Chlamydomonas reinhardtii: one gene and its partners. Each later gene encodes a partner of the first gene's protein in a complex. Links are inferred from orthologs where the notes say so. Each region holds a gene or a part of one and is shown on either strand. Other genes may lie near its edges. The genes, in order: CHLRE_03g179550v5, CHLRE_03g172050v5 and CHLRE_09g403300v5.

Region 1 (5,178 bases):
AGAACGGCGAGTTCTGGAACGTGCTTAACTACAAGCACACGCAGCACTACGACTCCCACATGGACAGCTTTGACCCCAAGGGTGAGCGAGGGGCCTTGCGAAAGCAGCAATGACCTTGGGGAGGGCGCGGCGGGCGGGGATGAAGTGTTAGACGTAATGGGCCACCCGCTCGTGCACTAACCCGAACAATGACCAAACACGGAGGTCCTGCCGCTGCCCTGGTCGCCCCCCCCCCGCCGCCGCAGAGTACGGCCAGCAGTACTCGCAGCGCATCGCTACGGTGATTGTGGTGCTCAGCGATGAGGGCCTGGTGGGCGGAGAAACGGTGTTCAAACGCGAGGGCAAGGCCAGTGAGTGGCGCGGCAGCCTGGAGGGGGCCCCGAGCCAGCGAGCAGCGCGTGTGTTTGCACGGGTGGCTGCGGGCGGGGCTGCAAGCGAGTGGAGGGTCAGGGCGCGCTATGGGGCAGGGGGACCCAGCTGCGTCTGTACGGCACCAACCACTGCCATTGATTACCGGGCAAAGGCTGTCTCCCCCAACACCGAACCCTGCTGACCGGCACCTACTCCACATCACTCCCCACCCAGACATCGACAAGCCGATCACCAACTGGACCGACTGCGATGCGGACGGCGGGCTGCGCTACAAGCCGCGCGCCGGCGACGCCGTGCTGTTCTGGAGCGCCTTCCCGGACGGCCGGCTGGACCAGCACGCGCTGCACGGCAGCTGCCCGGTGGTGACTGGCAACAAGTGGGTGGCGGTCAAGTGGATCCGCAACAAGGGATCCTACAACCCCTAGGAGCGAAAGGGCCGGGGCAGGCAGGCAGGCAGGCAGGCAGGCAGGCAGGCAGGCAGGCAGGCAGGCAGGCAGGCAGGCAGGCAATGTGACCGGCAGCGCAGCAGGGAGGAGAGGTGCGCAGATAAGCAGTTGGTGTACGGCGAGCCCGTTGGACCCCTCGGAAAGAAGCGGCTCGGCCGAGTGGTGCATGGAACTCCCCTGCTTATCACTGCGATGAGCTGATGCTGACCTCTGGACGCGTTGGCGGCGGTACACCACGTACCACATTGTACGGCTGTGCATCACCAACAGTCTCAGTTTAGATTTTCATTCTTCATATCTTGTGGGAGGCCAGCAGCGCAATTTTCCGCTGACGCGTGATTATAACGTTAGCTGTGTGTATCTGGGCAGAGCTGTTGCGGTACACGCTGCGTGCAAGGGTAGTGGGTGCCAGGTTGATTTTGGTGGCGTGCATGGCAGCATGGGGCGCTGCATTGGCACCCTTTGCAAGGCAAGAGCTTTACCGTTTCTTGTCTGGAAGAATACAGTCCTAATGGCTGAATTGTGCAGCATGAGAGCAGGTTGTAGACATGAGGCGCACGCGTGTGCCCGCGCATTTGGGCAAGGGTTTCATGATGCATGGAGGCGCATGTCACGGGGTCCTGGTACGCCGCACCCTGGGTCCATCAGCGCGGCTCACGCGTAATATTATTAAGAACTGCCATTGAATGCTGGAGTCATTGGAGAATCGAGCCCATGGTCTTATGTGTAAGCCGTGAAGCCGGTAGTGGCCTGTGGGTGCTCCTGCGCGACTGCATGCAGCCGCCCCTGCATGCAGCTGCATGAGGCTGGGCCCACAGGGGCCCCCCTTGGCGGCATAGTAATCACGAAGGAGCACGCAGCCTTCACAAGTCCGAATGAATGAGAAGCATATCATTACGCTCAACGCAGATACCACGCACGTCTCATTACCAAGCGACTCACCGCCGGGCCTGCCGAGCACGGACTTGCTGCACACTCCAAAACCCGCACCTGCTCCCTGACGTCGGTCCTTACGGTGCCTCTCCCTCTCGTCTATTCCGTTCCGGGTCCTTTATATCTCAATAGAAAGCAAAGTCAAGCTAGATTAAATTGAGCGGCTGTGTGGCGGGCGAGCGCGCGAACTCCAATGGCAGCAGCCGAGCGGAGAGACGACCTCGGGATTGAAGATGGAGACGACGACGACATTGACGAGAATGAACTGTAAGAGTTTGGTTACCAACATTGCACAGCGGGCGCCGCGAAGCGGGTTGGCATTTCAGCCTGTTCGCTCCTCTCGCTGTGCAGGCGACGACAAGAGGAGGCATACCAGCGGCAATATGAAAACGAGCAGACATGGGATCAGCTGCAGGAGGATGAGCATGGCAACCTGTTCGTGGTACGTGCCTGAGCCGGCTGGAGAAACCGTGCCCTGGTGCCGATGGTCGCTCCCCTTCCTGCCAGCCGGGCTGCCATCCGGCGGCCGAGATCTGGACTGCCACAGCGACTCACAAAATACATCCAGAAGTTGGCCTGTGTCATGCCTGACCCCTCACGCGATGTCCCACAGGACAAAACCGCGGAGCAGCGCGCCCGGAGACAGCGGTTGCTGTCGGCGGCGCAAAGCGCCCGCATCCGCAAGGGCATGATCCGCTATGTGCTGCTGGTGAGCACCTGGGGCAGCTGGGCTGGTGTGTGTCTGTGTGTGTGTGTGTGTGTGTGTGTTTGTATTTGTTTGGTTGTGTGTGTGTGTGTGTGTGTGTGTGTGTGTGTGTGTGTGTGTGTGTGTGTGTGTGTGTGTGTGTGTGTGTGTGTGTGTGTGTGTGTGTGTGTATGTGTGCGCGCGTGCGTGCATTGGTGTCCACATGCCGTCACAAGGGCCCAGTGCGTGCGGGGACGTAAGGACTGCGACGGACTGGGACCAGCAGTGGCACGCGGGCACAAACACGCCAGACACACCACGCGCTCTCCTTTTCCAAGCCGGCCCATCCCTTGTGCCACCACGCAGCTCCATCTCTTCTAAACCTCTTCAGCTCTCACCGCCCCTCGGCGCCGTCCTCCCCTGTGGCCATTTGCCTCCCCGCTTCCTGGTCACACAGGTGGTGGACCTGTCGCGCGCCGCCTCCGCCCAGGACCTGCGGCCCAACCGGCTAGGCTGCATGCTGTCGCTGTGCCGCTCCTTCGTGCGCGAGTTCTTCGACCAGAACCCGCTGAGCCAGCTGGGCATTGCGGTGATGCGCGGCGGGCTGGTGGAGAAGCTGACGGACCTGAGCGGATCGCCGGAGGCGCAGGTGGCGAGGCTGGATGCCGGCAAGCTGGGTGCGTGGGGGGCGGGGTCGCGCAGGACAGGGCAGGGCTACTGCCAGCTCGTGTGCGTATGTGCGTGTGTGCGTGGGACTAATGGCTAGTTCCTAACCACCGCACTCCGCGACCCGCCCGCCCCGCACGCAGGCGCACCCGCCGGCGACGCCTCCCTGCAGAACGCGCTGGAGCTGGGCGTGTCGCTGCTGAAGCAGCTGCCGCCGTACGGGCACCGGGAGCTGCTGCTGCTCTTCGCGGCGCTGGCCAGCTGCGACCCGGGCAATGTGCTGGACAGCGTCAAGGCGTGCAAGGACAACAACATACGGTGAGCGGGGGAGGGAGGGAGTTTATTTCGCCATTCCCATCAATGAATCAGAGACACGGGCCGGAGGTAGCGAGCGCCACAACACCTTGACCGTGAGGATACACACATACATGGCACCCAGAGCTTCGTTTTGTTGTTTTTTTAATCCATGGCACCCATGCTCATACGCGCCCGCCCGCCCGTCGACCTGTCCGCAGGGTGTCGGTGGTGGGTGTGGCTGCCGAGGTGTACGTGTGCCGACGCATCACGGAGGACACGGGCGGCACCTACGGCGTGGCGCTCAACGAGGGACACCTGGAGCAGCTGCTCATGGCGCACTCGCCGCCACCGCCAGCCACAGCAGCACAGGCCAAGGCGGAGCTGGTGAGGCCGCGAGGGGGCCGGGGTTCGGGCTGTGGCGCTCTGCAGCAGCTGTCCGGGCGGGCGGGAGAAGGCCGAGCTGTGTTGGCGTGCTTGATACAGGGCTACATCAGTTCTTGGTTGCCCGCGTCCCGGTAGTCCCGGCTTGACCACCTCCGCCCTGCCTCACGCCTTGCCTCCCCCTCCTGCTTTTGACGTGGCGGGCGCCAGGTACGCATGGGCTTTCCGCAGCGCAGCACGGAGGAGGCCAGCTCGGCGGTGTTCGTGGGGCAGGAGGCGCGGCTGCTGCCGGGCAGCTACACCTGCCCGCGCTGCCGCAGCCGCGTGCCCGAGCTGCCCGTGGAGTGCCACACGTGCGGCCTGACGCTCATCTCCAGCCCGCACCTGGCGCGCTCCTACCACCACCTGTTCCCGGTGCAGCCCTACCACGAGGACAGCGAGGTGCGTGCCTGTGTGGAGGGGCGTGGGAGGGGCGTGGGAGGGGCGTGGAAGAGGGGCTTAGCCGTTCATGGAGAACGGAGTGATCAAACCACAGGTTCAGAGTGCCGGCTTCCTGTAGAAACAGCAGGAGCATACCGTTGACGAAATGGCCCATAGGGATAGCGCATGAAGGGTTTTTGTGGGGGTGGGTTGCGGAAGCAGACGGCGTGCACGGCACGTGCGGGCTTATTGGCGCGGACTGACTGAAGGACGCGTGGCGGTGAGTGGATGGGTGGGGGTAGCCGTCCCTGAAAGTTACAAGCGCCGATATGTCCAGTAGGGGGGAGGTAGGAGGTGGGGTGGGGTGCCAGGGAGGGAAGGTGTGACGCGCAGGTCGCGGTAAGGCGAGGTCGTGGGCGGTAAGGCGTCGGCCAGGAGGCGTCGTGGTTTTGCCGCACGACACTGTTGGCTTGTGCACGCGTCGTGGCTGCCAAGTCCTGGGCAGTTGCTGCTACTATTTGAGATGCGCATTTGCGTAATGGGGCGACATAATGCAGCGCATGTCGATTATTGCAAGGATTTGTGGAGCATACCCCGGGTCGTCTTAGTCAGGTCGTGTCATGTCGAAGAGTTGGATTTGTGCAGGAATAATGCCCTAGCTACAACTTCTTCCACATTTCGCACGGCTGTTCAGTGAACGTTCTTCGGATGCACTGCAGGAGCGGGCGGAGGCTGCGGCAGCGGTGCAGGCGCAGCAACCGGCCATGTGCAGCGAGGTTATGACAACCACGGGCGCGTACTGCTTCGGCTGCCTACGCGAGGTGTCGGAGCCGGGCGTCAAGGGGCAGCTGCACCTCACGCTGCGCTGTGGCCAGTGCAAGCAGGTGTTTTGCTTCGAATGCGACGCGTACGTCCACGAAAGCCTACACAATTGCCCCGGCTGCGAGTTCCTGGGGGCCGGTTGATGCCCCGAGAGTG
Region 2 (5,299 bases), about 890 kb from region 1:
TCAGTAACTGCGCCGCGCTGTTAGCCTCTGCCCATCAACCTGCATAGCCTGTCTATCATTCCTTCACATTCAGCGCGCAATCGCGAGCTCGGCTGCTTGGGTGCTAGGAGCTGGTGGGCACGCTGTTGATGGGGTGGCAGCACGCGCATCGCCCCAGCTGCGTCACGCCGCCTGGCAGCGCCCTGCAAGGAATAAACACACACGCGCGACTTACGAGTAAAGCTCTTTATCTGCAATACACTGAGGCGACTATCAGGCTGTAGAGCTCCACATGCAGGCTCCCTTCAGGCTCATAGCACTGTTATCGAGAATGCTTTTTAAGACTGTACCGGGGCTTCTTGCACCCCCAGTTCCTGCCTCCCACCTGACCCACCTGACCCACTCCGGCATGTTGTCCGCCGCCGCCAGGCTCCGGGCGTCCATGCGGTCCACGTACAGCACCCCGGCCAGGTGGTCCACCTCGTGCTGCGCGATGCGCGCCGCCCAGCCCGTCAGCCGCAGCCGCAGCGGCAGCCCCTCCACGTCCACCCCCTCCAGGTCCACCTCCCGGTACCGCCGCACAATCGCCTGCAGGGGCGCGGCAACAGCAGCAGCAGCGTGAAAGGAAAGCATACGGCGGCTTGCGACAGTAGGTGGGTGTGCATGTGGGGCTGGCGTGTGCCAGGCCCCGCTGCTTCGCCACCAACTGCCGCAGCACCGCCCGCCCAGCTTGGTGCTCCTCTGCCAGACACTCGCATCCTACACCCCAACACAACCCACTCCCTCTGACCGCTTATCCCTTTGTACGGCAAAAACCGCCCCACGACCCCCTCTCTTCCCTCATTCCCCAGGCAGGCAGACTGCCGCGGCCACCCACCCACCGTGTACCCGCGCACGCTGAGGCAGCCCTCGAAGAACGCGCCGCCCTCCTGCCCCACCGCCTTGAGGGTGGGGTTGACCACCACCAGCGGCCCGAACGGCCGCCGCTCCACCGCCGCCAGCAGCTCGGCGCTGTACACGCCCGCCGCCGCCTGCCGGTCCATGTACTCCTGGCGGTCCTCCATCACAATTACCTGCGGGCCCCGCAGCGATGCAGCGAGGAGTGGTGTGCGAACATGCGAACATGCAAGTGCGAACCTAGCGTGCCGATGTGGGTCGCCATGCCCCTATTGCTCGCTCCTAGCTGCGTGCACCAACGTGCGGTGATGGAGTGACACCGGCACATGCACGGCAACGCGGCACCAGCCCAGCCGCAGCCTGCCTACCGCACTGCCCACCGCCCCCCTTCCTTATCGTCTACACCACCCACCCGCCAGGGTTCGCCAATCTGTGGTGCGGCCAGCCCCACCCCCGGCGCCGCACGCATGACGTCCGTCATCTCCTCTGCCAGGCCCCGGAGCCAGCCGCTACCCAGCAGCTCGCGAGGCACCGTCTTGGCAGGCTGTGCTGCGGGCAGAGGAGCAAGCAAGTCACCGAGCCTCAACCCCAACCAGCGTGCGGGCCGGCACAGGAGCGGGGACAGGGGACGGAATGCTGAATGCAAGGGGTGTGCGGCGAAGCTGCGTGTCAGCTGTAAAGCTCGCACCTGCCGTAGGACGGGAGACCCCGCCTGGACGATGGACCGCAGCTTGGCCGCATCGGGGGCTGGGGAAGTTGCCATGGCAACGACACCCTGACCCCGTGGAGCACCCGTACGTGCAGCCCGCTCCGTCCGCTGCAGCTGTCGCTTCGCCGCTGCTGACGTGCAGGTGTAGCGGCTTCCAGAGAGCATAGTTGGCCTAGGAAACAAGCGCAGTGGAGCGATCTAGAACGTGAAGCTGGGGCCAATGGACCCGCGTGTATTTATTGCATCGATCGGAGTCTTCCGTGGATTTTCGATGCCAGTCAATACATGAATTATGTATAGATATCAAGCTTACAAGTAATAAATCGGGAAGCAAGTCTATGAATGTGTCAATGAGCTGCACTGCACATTAAGTTCCGCGCGCTGCTCGCGCGGCGGGCGCCGAGGCCATGGCGGGCAAGTCATTCGGGGCTTAAAAACATTAGGTTAGCAATGTCATTTAACGCGACTGAAATGGACTCGCTCTGTCGCAGACGAGGGCGATTTGCTGGTGGTGCTCTTCGACCTGGTGCTGCTGCGCCCGGATAATCCCTCGGCGGACTCCCTTGACGTGACTCCGGCCGAGATCCTGTCTCAGGTGGGGCCGGGGAGCGCACGCGGGGAAGAACCATCGCGTTCCGCCTTTGTCTGCCGTTCGCGTGCTGACCTGCTGCAACACCTGCACCCCATGCCCATACCCTTCCCTGCCCCTCACCTCCTGCCCCTGACTTCCTGCAGCTCCTGGCTTTTGCAAATGCCTACACCATGCTCAGCAGCCACAACCGCCTCGCCGTGTTCGCGGGGCAACACGACTTCAGGTGCGGGGCTGGCCGGCCCAGACGGAGCCTATCTCCTGCTTCGTAGCCGACCGCCGCTAGCAGCCAGCCGCCAGCCGCCAGCCGCCAGCTACCTCCGCATGGCGCCTCCACACGAGCGCCATGGCCCCATGGGTCCCTGGCGCTGCTGCAGTGCCAAGGCTGCACACAGCACACGCATGGGGGGCATGGGGGGTGCGAGCTGCTCTGTGCGAGTGTTCGGGGTGTGTGGCGGCCGCTAGCAGCCGGCCAGGTGCTGGGGCCAGCCCGGACCGTGCGGCACACAGGCCGTGACGCACACAGGCCGTGCCGTGGTCTGGACGCAGCTGCACTCCTGCTGCTGCTGTGCCGCCTGCTTCCCAACCTGTGCCGCCCTCTCCCGCGGGTGCCGCCTGTTTGCGACCATCCCACGTCTCTTCCAACCCACCACCTGCCCGCACCTACTACCCCTCCGCATCAACTCCACTCGTCATCCACCCTCTCCCCCTCTCCCCTCTCCCCTCTCCCCCCTCAGCCACCTGGTGCACCTGGGCCTGGGCGAGGACGCCAGTAACACCGAGGTCTTCCCCGCCGGCGCCCTGCACACACGACTGACGGACCTGGTCACGCAGTGCGCGGCGGCGGCGGCGGCAGGAGGCGCGGGCGCAGGGGCTGCAGCCAATGCTGGCCAGGGCGCAGGTGGGAATGATGCCGCGTTGGCGAGTGGCAGCGCCTTGTTTGGGTGGTGGTAAAGGAGGGGAATGTGTCGATGTCGGGCGCACGGACCAGGGTAAAGGCGCTTGCATGTTCGCCGTTCACCGTGCATCGCATCGCGCTTGGCCCCAGTCTCTCTGCCGTCTGCCGGCACTCACGCAACCCCCCACCCCCACCCCCAACCCCACCCCGCCCCAGGCCCCGGCTTCGCGCTGTCGGGCGCACTGTCCCGCGCGCTGTGTCTGGTCCACCGCCTGCAGCAGCAGCAGGCGGCCGCGGGCGGGCGGCCGCGCGGGCGGCCTCGTGTGCTGGCGCTGCTGGGCTGCGGCGACACGGCGGCTCAGTACATCCCGGTGATGAATGCCATCTTCTCCGCGCAGCGCGCCCAGGTGGTGCTGGATGCGGTGGTCGTGGCGCCGCAGGACTCGTCCTTCATGCAGCAGGCCGCGCACCTCACAGGTGCGGTGCTAGGGCGCTAGGGCGGTAGGGTGGTAGGGTTCTAGGGTGGAAGGGTGGTAGGGTGGTAGGTGGTGGGCTGCTGGGTGCTTGAGGGCTTGGTGGCATTCGTCGGTGCTCAAGGTGGTGTTTGAGGAAGGGCTGCAGTGGGTGCGTTGGTTGATGCTGGTAGGCCACGCATGGGATGGGGCTAAACAATGGTTGGCTGCGCCGTTGAGCAGTTTGACGTTCTACGAGCCAGAGCATACCGGTATGACCGAGCGAGCCACAAGCTGAGGCCGCACGCTGCAACCCGGTGGCAGCGGCGGCGTGCTCGGCTCGCTGACACAACCAAACCCACAATGCCCAACATGCACACACGCAGGCGGGCTGTATTTCCGGCCGCACCGAGGTCGCGGCCTGCTGGGTGTGCTGCTCAACCACTTCGTGTGCGACACCGCCACCCGCAAGCAGCTGGATGAGGCTCAGGCCTTAGGGGTGGACTTCCGTGCCTCCTGCTTCTGCCACAAGTACGTCATAGAGACTGGCTACGTGTGCAGCGTGTGCCTGTCCATTTTCTGCCAGCCCAGCCGCTCATGCACCACGTGCGGCACAGCGTTCGGTGCGGGCGGCAAGGCGGTGGGCGCTGGTGGGGGCGGGGGAGGGGCGGGCGCGGTGGGAGGCGGGTCGTGAGGGCGGGAGATGGGACGCAGGGGCGTGTGGGGGTGCGGGTGTCAGGCGGTATGCACGCAGGGGTAGGCCCACGGGCAGTGGCAATCCGCCAGGGACGGCCAAGTGGTTGTGTTGAGGCTGCGGCTGATGATTATAAATAAACGCGTGGCGGGCGTCACGCTTTGTGTTGGAAGCATAGCTATGGTGTGAGATGCAATGGCACAAGCGGGCACATTTTGGGAGGCTGATGGAACGAATGAACAAGAAAATTAACGAAGTGTCAAGTTAGTCATGTCGGGCTTGGCGACAAGCTACATTATCGGTATGGAGTGGGTCAGAGGGCGTCACACAAGCAGATGCAATTGCATATCTGGTTGAAAGATACCCGCCCCTGCCTCGGGTGGAGGGCCTGCCGCAGTGGAGGTGGAGGTGCATTCGCGCCGCGTGGGGCTGCGTGGGGCTGCATACGGCCCCTGAATCTCGCCAACTACCCGTTTCCGGTGGGTTTTGGCAAGGCATTTTGGGGCCCCTGGATGGCGTGGGCGAGAACGTGGCCTTCTCGCCAGCGGCGGCGGCCTACCCCTGGAAGATGCAAGAGGGCCTATGCACCCTAGTGGTGAAGCCCAATCACTGTGTAGCGCACCTGTATCCCTGCCATCAGTCCATCAGTCCATCAGTCCATCAGTTACATGCACGCTGCTGTTACGTACCTACCCTCACAGCCGAAGTTGTAATGGGGAGGCTTTCCTTGCACGGCCGCCTTCAGTGCATGTGCGCCCACTTATTCTTCAGGTGTGTTGCTTAAACACGCGCACCCTCACACTCACACACGCACGCCGCAAAACATACACACATACACATGCACTAAACACAAAGAAATGGTATGGTCCTGTGTGTATCTGGTGACACATCAACAGCTGTTCTATATAACTGATGTGCACGCAACATGCCTCTCCGCACTCAACTGCTATATCCACTCCTGGCCCGCAGCCTGCTGCACGCAACCCCTAAGCAGATTCCTGCCAAACATGGCATGACAGTTTGGTGACCGGGTAAATGGGTAATGCCACGCACTCTCATCACGTTGCTCCATCACGTTGCC
Region 3 (4,669 bases), on another chromosome or scaffold:
TGTGTGTGTGTGTGTGTGTGTGTGTGTGTGTGTGTGTGTGTGTGTGTGTGTGTGTGTGTGTGTGTGTGTGTGTGTGTGCGATAAGGGCTTGTGGGGTGGGCGGGGACGTGCAGGGTACATGCTTGCGGGGGCCAGGCGGGTGGAGACGTCACGGGCGTACTGAGCTCGGGCGCCTGTGATCGCGGTAGTGCCGGCAGGAGGCTGCTATGTGCCGCGTGATGTGTGTGTCAACGGTGGCGTTGGCTTTGAGCCCGACCCCTCAGCCATGCCCACCCCCACTCCCGCATCCACCCCACACGCGCCCGCAGGTCCGGTGACGAGCTGGCCCACACGCTGTCCTTCCTGTTGCAGCTGGGCTTCCGGCGGGTGGGGCAGCCCTGCGCCTGGGCGGAGCTGCGGCCGCCGGAGCAGCGCATGGCGGCACACCTGGCGCAGCTGGGCGTGCTGGCGGTGTTCCAGGTGGGAGGGGTTACATTCATGATTAGCTAAGGAAGTGGTAGACGGTAGAGGTAGAGGGGCAGGAAGGGGGAGGAGGCACGAGGAGGAGGGGTGCGGCAGGGTTGTGGGAGAGCGCTGGGGAAAGGTAAAGAGCGTCGCGATGTGTTCGGGGCTGGCTGCCGGTTCTCGGCCTTGGGATACAACTTGGCGGCGCTCCTCATTCATTCCTGTCTCCATGTATGGATGCCCTCTCCTCCTTTAATCGCCCTCAGACCGATGACGGGGAGGTATTCTACACACCCACGCGCCTCGCCGCGTCCCTGTGCGGCGGCAGCGGCGGAGCTGGCGGCGGGGCAGGTGGCGCCGCGGGAGGCAAGGGCAGCGCGGGGGCCGCCGGCAGCGGCGGCGCGCTGGCGGCTCGTGGCGGCGGCGCGGGCGGCGCGGCCGCTGCGGCGGCGATGGATGGCGGCGGCGCGGGCAGCGACGCCTTTGTCATTGTAGAAAGCAATTACCGAGTGAGGGCTATTGCGGACAGGCACATCGCGTCCCTTACCGAGTGCTCGTCCTAACACATGCAGGCAAGAGGTTGTCCTTTTTCCGGAGCTCATGCACACACGCCTCCCTACGCCCTCTCCAACCTCCAGGTGTATGTGTACACTCGCTCGCCAGTCACCATTGCTGTGTTGGAGCTGTTTGTGAAGCGCGAGGCTCTGCTGCCCAACCTGTTCGTGGGGGCCATCCGCCGCGACAGTATACTGGCAGCGCTGGCCAGGTGGGGACACACAGGGATTTGGGTGAGAGGGAGGGAGGAAGTGGAAAGGGAAGAGAGGGACGGAAGGAGAGAGGAGCGGGAGGGTGGGAGCGTTGGGGAACGGACGGGGCACAGGGGCGGGCAACCCGAGTTCGGCGGGATGGCGTTGGGGCCAGTCATAGGAGAGTGCCCTCGGGGTCTGGATTACAGGGTTCATCTGGAAGACTCCTGACCCCTCACTTAGTATCTCACGTGGAATGGTTCTTGCCCGCTTTCCCTGACCCGCATGCCTGCGACACGTGTACGCACGCGCACACACGTACACACGCACGCACAGGGGCATCACTGCGGATGAGCTGGTGGCGTACCTGTCCGCCCGGCCCCACCCCTCCATCGCCGCCCGCTGCCCCGTGGTGCCTGAGGTGCGTCCTTGCGGCCTGCGTGCGTGCATGTGTTAGCGGGCGCGAAGGGGTGGGGGGGACGGGTACATGCAGGGTTGCGTCTGCGTCCAAGCAATCGTATGTCGCCTGCTATTTGTCATTACCTTTTACCATTGCGCCTGACTATGCCTTCGCTTCTTCTTAAGTACCCATACATGTAATCCCTCCCTGCCCTCCGGATCAGGTTGTGTCGGACCAGATCCGGCTGTGGGAGGCGTCCATGAATAGGCTGCAGGTGGGGGCACACGCGCGGTGGGGGAATCGGGGTGGAGGGCGGGGAGCGCGTGTACGGGCAGGGGCGCGGCCAGGGGTTGAGGCTGCAAGCCACACGGGCAGCCCACTGGGTCCGCGGCTGGCACACGCCTTGCCGGCCCAAAACCTGTTTGCCTCCTCCCCGACCCATCACTTCCCGCCCACCACCCTCCTGCTCCGTGTTTTATGGACGGCAGCACCGCCCGATGCCACCCGCTCCGCTCACAAACGTGCCGCCCCACACGCATACATGCCCACACACGCTCCCTTATCGTCCTCCCCCCATATTTGTGATTTGATCACTTCGTTCTCCACGTGAAAGGCTGCCCCCTCCCCGTCCCCCCCCCCTCCTCCCCGCAAAGGCCCACCCCGCGGTGCTGTATGAGAACATGGAGAGCCGCCAGCTGTACGAGCGGGCCGTGGCGGCGGCGCGGGCGGCCGGCACACTGCAGTGGGAGGACGGAGCCCGCATGCGCTTCGTGGCGCTGGAGTCAGGTGGGTGGCGGTTGGGTGGTTGGGTGGTTGGGCGGGTAGTTGGGTGGTTGAGATTGGGTGGTCGGGCGGGGCTTTGGGTTGGGGCGCAGTGGAATGGTATGAGCCGTGCGGAAGCAGAGCCCACGCCTTGGTCCCTTTCTCGCTCAACGGACTCCCGGTGCAGCTTTCAGTGCAGCTCGGCGCACTTTGGCTGTCATGTTGGGTTCGGTTCTATTAAACTCCTCACACTATCCTCCCCTATCTCGTGCGTCTCGGGCCTTCCTCTCCTCCTCCTCGTCCTCTCCCCACCAGCCCCAAATTGCCGGAATCAGCAACCCGCACGCCCACATACACACACGCACACAAACACACGGTCTCGACCCTGTCCCCTTGTGCTTCTCTATCCCACACAGGCCACGAGGCTATGAAGCTGCTCATCGTCAAGGCCAAGCAGGACCTCAAGCTGTAGCATCAGGAGCCCGGGATGTAGCAGCAGGAGCCCGGGGCTGTAGCAGCAGGCGAGAGGTTTAATGGTGAAGTAGGGACAGACCCACGGCCACGGCTGCAGCCGTGGTCACAGCTATAGGTCACAACAGGAACTGCAGCGTTGGAGCTGTCAGCAGGACTTGCCAGGGGCTTGGAGTCGTCGGACTGCCGCTGCGGGTGCCGCTGGGGGCAGCTGGTCCGTGCGGAGGCTGGGCTGCGTGCGGTGGTACCGGGCACGATGCTAGTAATGCGCAGCCATCCGGTTGGCGGGACTGCTAGATTGGACTTTGAAGGTTTCCGCACGAGCGTAGCCGGTAGTCGGAAACCTAGAGTTTCAACGACCCGTACCAAGAGTAGCATGGCGTACGGCGTGTCTCAGGAGCGGTGTTGTCGGCATTGTGTGGTTTGGTGTTAACTTCGGCGTACCGTACTCGCAGCTACTGCCGGTATAGGTGTCCTGCTCGAGGCTGTAGTGGCTGGATAGCTGCATTCTGAGGCGCCACACGGCGGCCGCCCCCAACAGTGAAGGAGATGTGCCCTCTGTGCTCGCAGGTGGCCATTAAGATTGGCTGGTTAGGAGCAGGAGTCTCGTGTGCGCGTGTGTTTCGGACTTGAAATTGCTAGAAGACATTCAAAGTTGGACGTTATCAATTGAGTGCTGTAACGGAAGCGTCGGCAAGTATATGGAAACGATGCGTGAAGTGGCAGTGGAGGAGTGGAGTGAGCCGTAGAGCCGTGCAGCTGCAAAGCTGTGCTGCTTTAGAGGTGATGGACCATGCAAAGTGGGCAGAAGCCAGAAGGGGAGCATGCGGGTTGTGCAGCGGTGGTGGACGTAAGCCAGGCCGTCAGTCGATCGTCGCGGGCATCCAGCCACATCACCTGCCTGCTTGAGAACGACCTGACCGACCGGTCATCCAACAGTGCTGGGCCGGTCCAACCCACGCATTGGTTGCTCGGTCAGCGGCAGCCTCGGCCCGGCCATCCAGCAGACCCGGGACTCCACCCCAGCAGCCATCCGGCTGCCGCGCCCAGGTGTCCAGTAGCGCTGGGACGGCCCGCTACACACGACTCTCACACGGAGCGCCTAGGCCACCCTTCCAGGTTTCCAACGCAGCGTTCCTCAGCAGAGCGTGAGAGCGAGCCCAACTGAGTGCCGTGCCGACACCCTCTCCCCTGGCTCAAGTGCACGGGAATTCCTTGGCAAGTTGGCATTGCACTGGCAGTCTGGCGCTGAATAATGAAGGACGCGGCCAAAACGGCATGATGTTGATCTGCCTCTCAAGGGAAAAGTGGGCTGCGCCAACACCACGTTGGTGCAACGTCTGAGGCCGAAGGCATCAAAACTACTTCATGGGTGCGAAAGCCGTGCACCATGCACTGGTTCTGCAATTTCATCACGCCCCATGACACTCCAATATGTAGGAGTTGAAACCATGCACATGGGAAACATACTGCTATCACTCTCTCTCGCACGTACACATTCACCACCATATTCCGCTTTTCTCAGCAGGCGTGCTTGTGTCAAAGCACCTTCATACCGCATGGTGTAGTAGTTTACTATGTCTCCAGACGATTCTCTCCCTTCAAGTCATAGTTGGGGTGGCTTGAAAGCCACCGATATTCTTCCAGTGCATGAATGGCATAGATCACACAACCGAGGCCATGTAGGAATAGTAGAAGTGGCCATGCTGGACCTTCATCTTATTGGGTGCAGCCCCAACCATGATGGCATATATGGCATGACGGCCATGCAGTCGTAACATGCATTTTTAAGTGCCTACTAACCTCGGCCCCTTCTGCAGGGGCAGAGGGTCCCCCAGGGTGTGGA

What was found.
Region 2: CHLRE_03g179550v5 (region 1) and CHLRE_03g172050v5 share a complex: the UniProt entries of both Arabidopsis thaliana proteins name them as parts of the 7-subunit TFIIH core complex. The link is inferred for Chlamydomonas reinhardtii from reciprocal best matches to the Arabidopsis thaliana genes GTF2H2 and AT1G18340.
Region 3: CHLRE_03g179550v5 (region 1) and CHLRE_09g403300v5 share a complex: the UniProt entries of both Arabidopsis thaliana proteins name them as parts of the 7-subunit TFIIH core complex. The link is inferred for Chlamydomonas reinhardtii from reciprocal best matches to the Arabidopsis thaliana genes GTF2H2 and AT4G17020.

Annotation. Positions count from the first base shown.
Region 1 is NC_057006.1:4,896,804-4,901,981, forward strand, and holds the start of CHLRE_03g179550v5 (uncharacterized protein), read left to right. Parts: upstream 1-1,699; 5' UTR 1,700-1,944; coding exon 1,945-2,018; intron 2,019-2,102; coding exon 2,103-2,193; intron 2,194-2,364; coding exon 2,365-2,460; intron 2,461-2,893; coding exon 2,894-3,113; intron 3,114-3,245; coding exon 3,246-3,420; intron 3,421-3,617; coding exon 3,618-3,783; intron 3,784-3,990; coding exon 3,991-4,221; intron 4,222-4,919; coding exon 4,920-5,165; 3' UTR 5,166-5,178. Other genes in the region: CHLRE_03g179500v5 (uncharacterized protein), read left to right, coding at 1-81, 246-350, 586-797. UniProt on the Arabidopsis thaliana protein: Component of the general transcription and DNA repair factor IIH (TFIIH) core complex, which is involved in general and transcription-coupled nucleotide excision repair (NER) of damaged DNA and, when complexed to CAK, in RNA transcription by RNA polymerase II.
Region 2 is NC_057006.1:4,009,869-4,015,167, reverse strand, and holds CHLRE_03g172050v5 (uncharacterized protein), read left to right. Parts: upstream 1-1,892; 5' UTR 1,893-1,992; coding exon 1,993-1,999; intron 2,000-2,076; coding exon 2,077-2,180; intron 2,181-2,320; coding exon 2,321-2,400; intron 2,401-2,911; coding exon 2,912-3,075; intron 3,076-3,288; coding exon 3,289-3,549; intron 3,550-3,910; coding exon 3,911-4,218; 3' UTR 4,219-4,943; downstream 4,944-5,299. Other genes in the region: CHLRE_03g172100v5 (uncharacterized protein), read right to left, coding at 104-182, 374-567, 861-1,052, 1,289-1,420, 1,565-1,639. UniProt on the Arabidopsis thaliana protein: Component of the general transcription and DNA repair factor IIH (TFIIH) core complex, which is involved in general and transcription-coupled nucleotide excision repair (NER) of damaged DNA and, when complexed to CAK, in RNA transcription by RNA polymerase II.
Region 3 is NC_057012.1:644,349-649,017, forward strand, and holds the end of CHLRE_09g403300v5 (uncharacterized protein), read left to right. Parts: intron 1-308; coding exon 309-459; intron 460-710; coding exon 711-953; intron 954-1,082; coding exon 1,083-1,210; intron 1,211-1,526; coding exon 1,527-1,611; intron 1,612-1,813; coding exon 1,814-1,864; intron 1,865-2,243; coding exon 2,244-2,376; intron 2,377-2,768; coding exon 2,769-2,824; 3' UTR 2,825-3,687; downstream 3,688-4,669. UniProt on the Arabidopsis thaliana protein: Component of the general transcription and DNA repair factor IIH (TFIIH) core complex, which is involved in general and transcription-coupled nucleotide excision repair (NER) of damaged DNA and, when complexed to CAK, in RNA transcription by RNA polymerase II.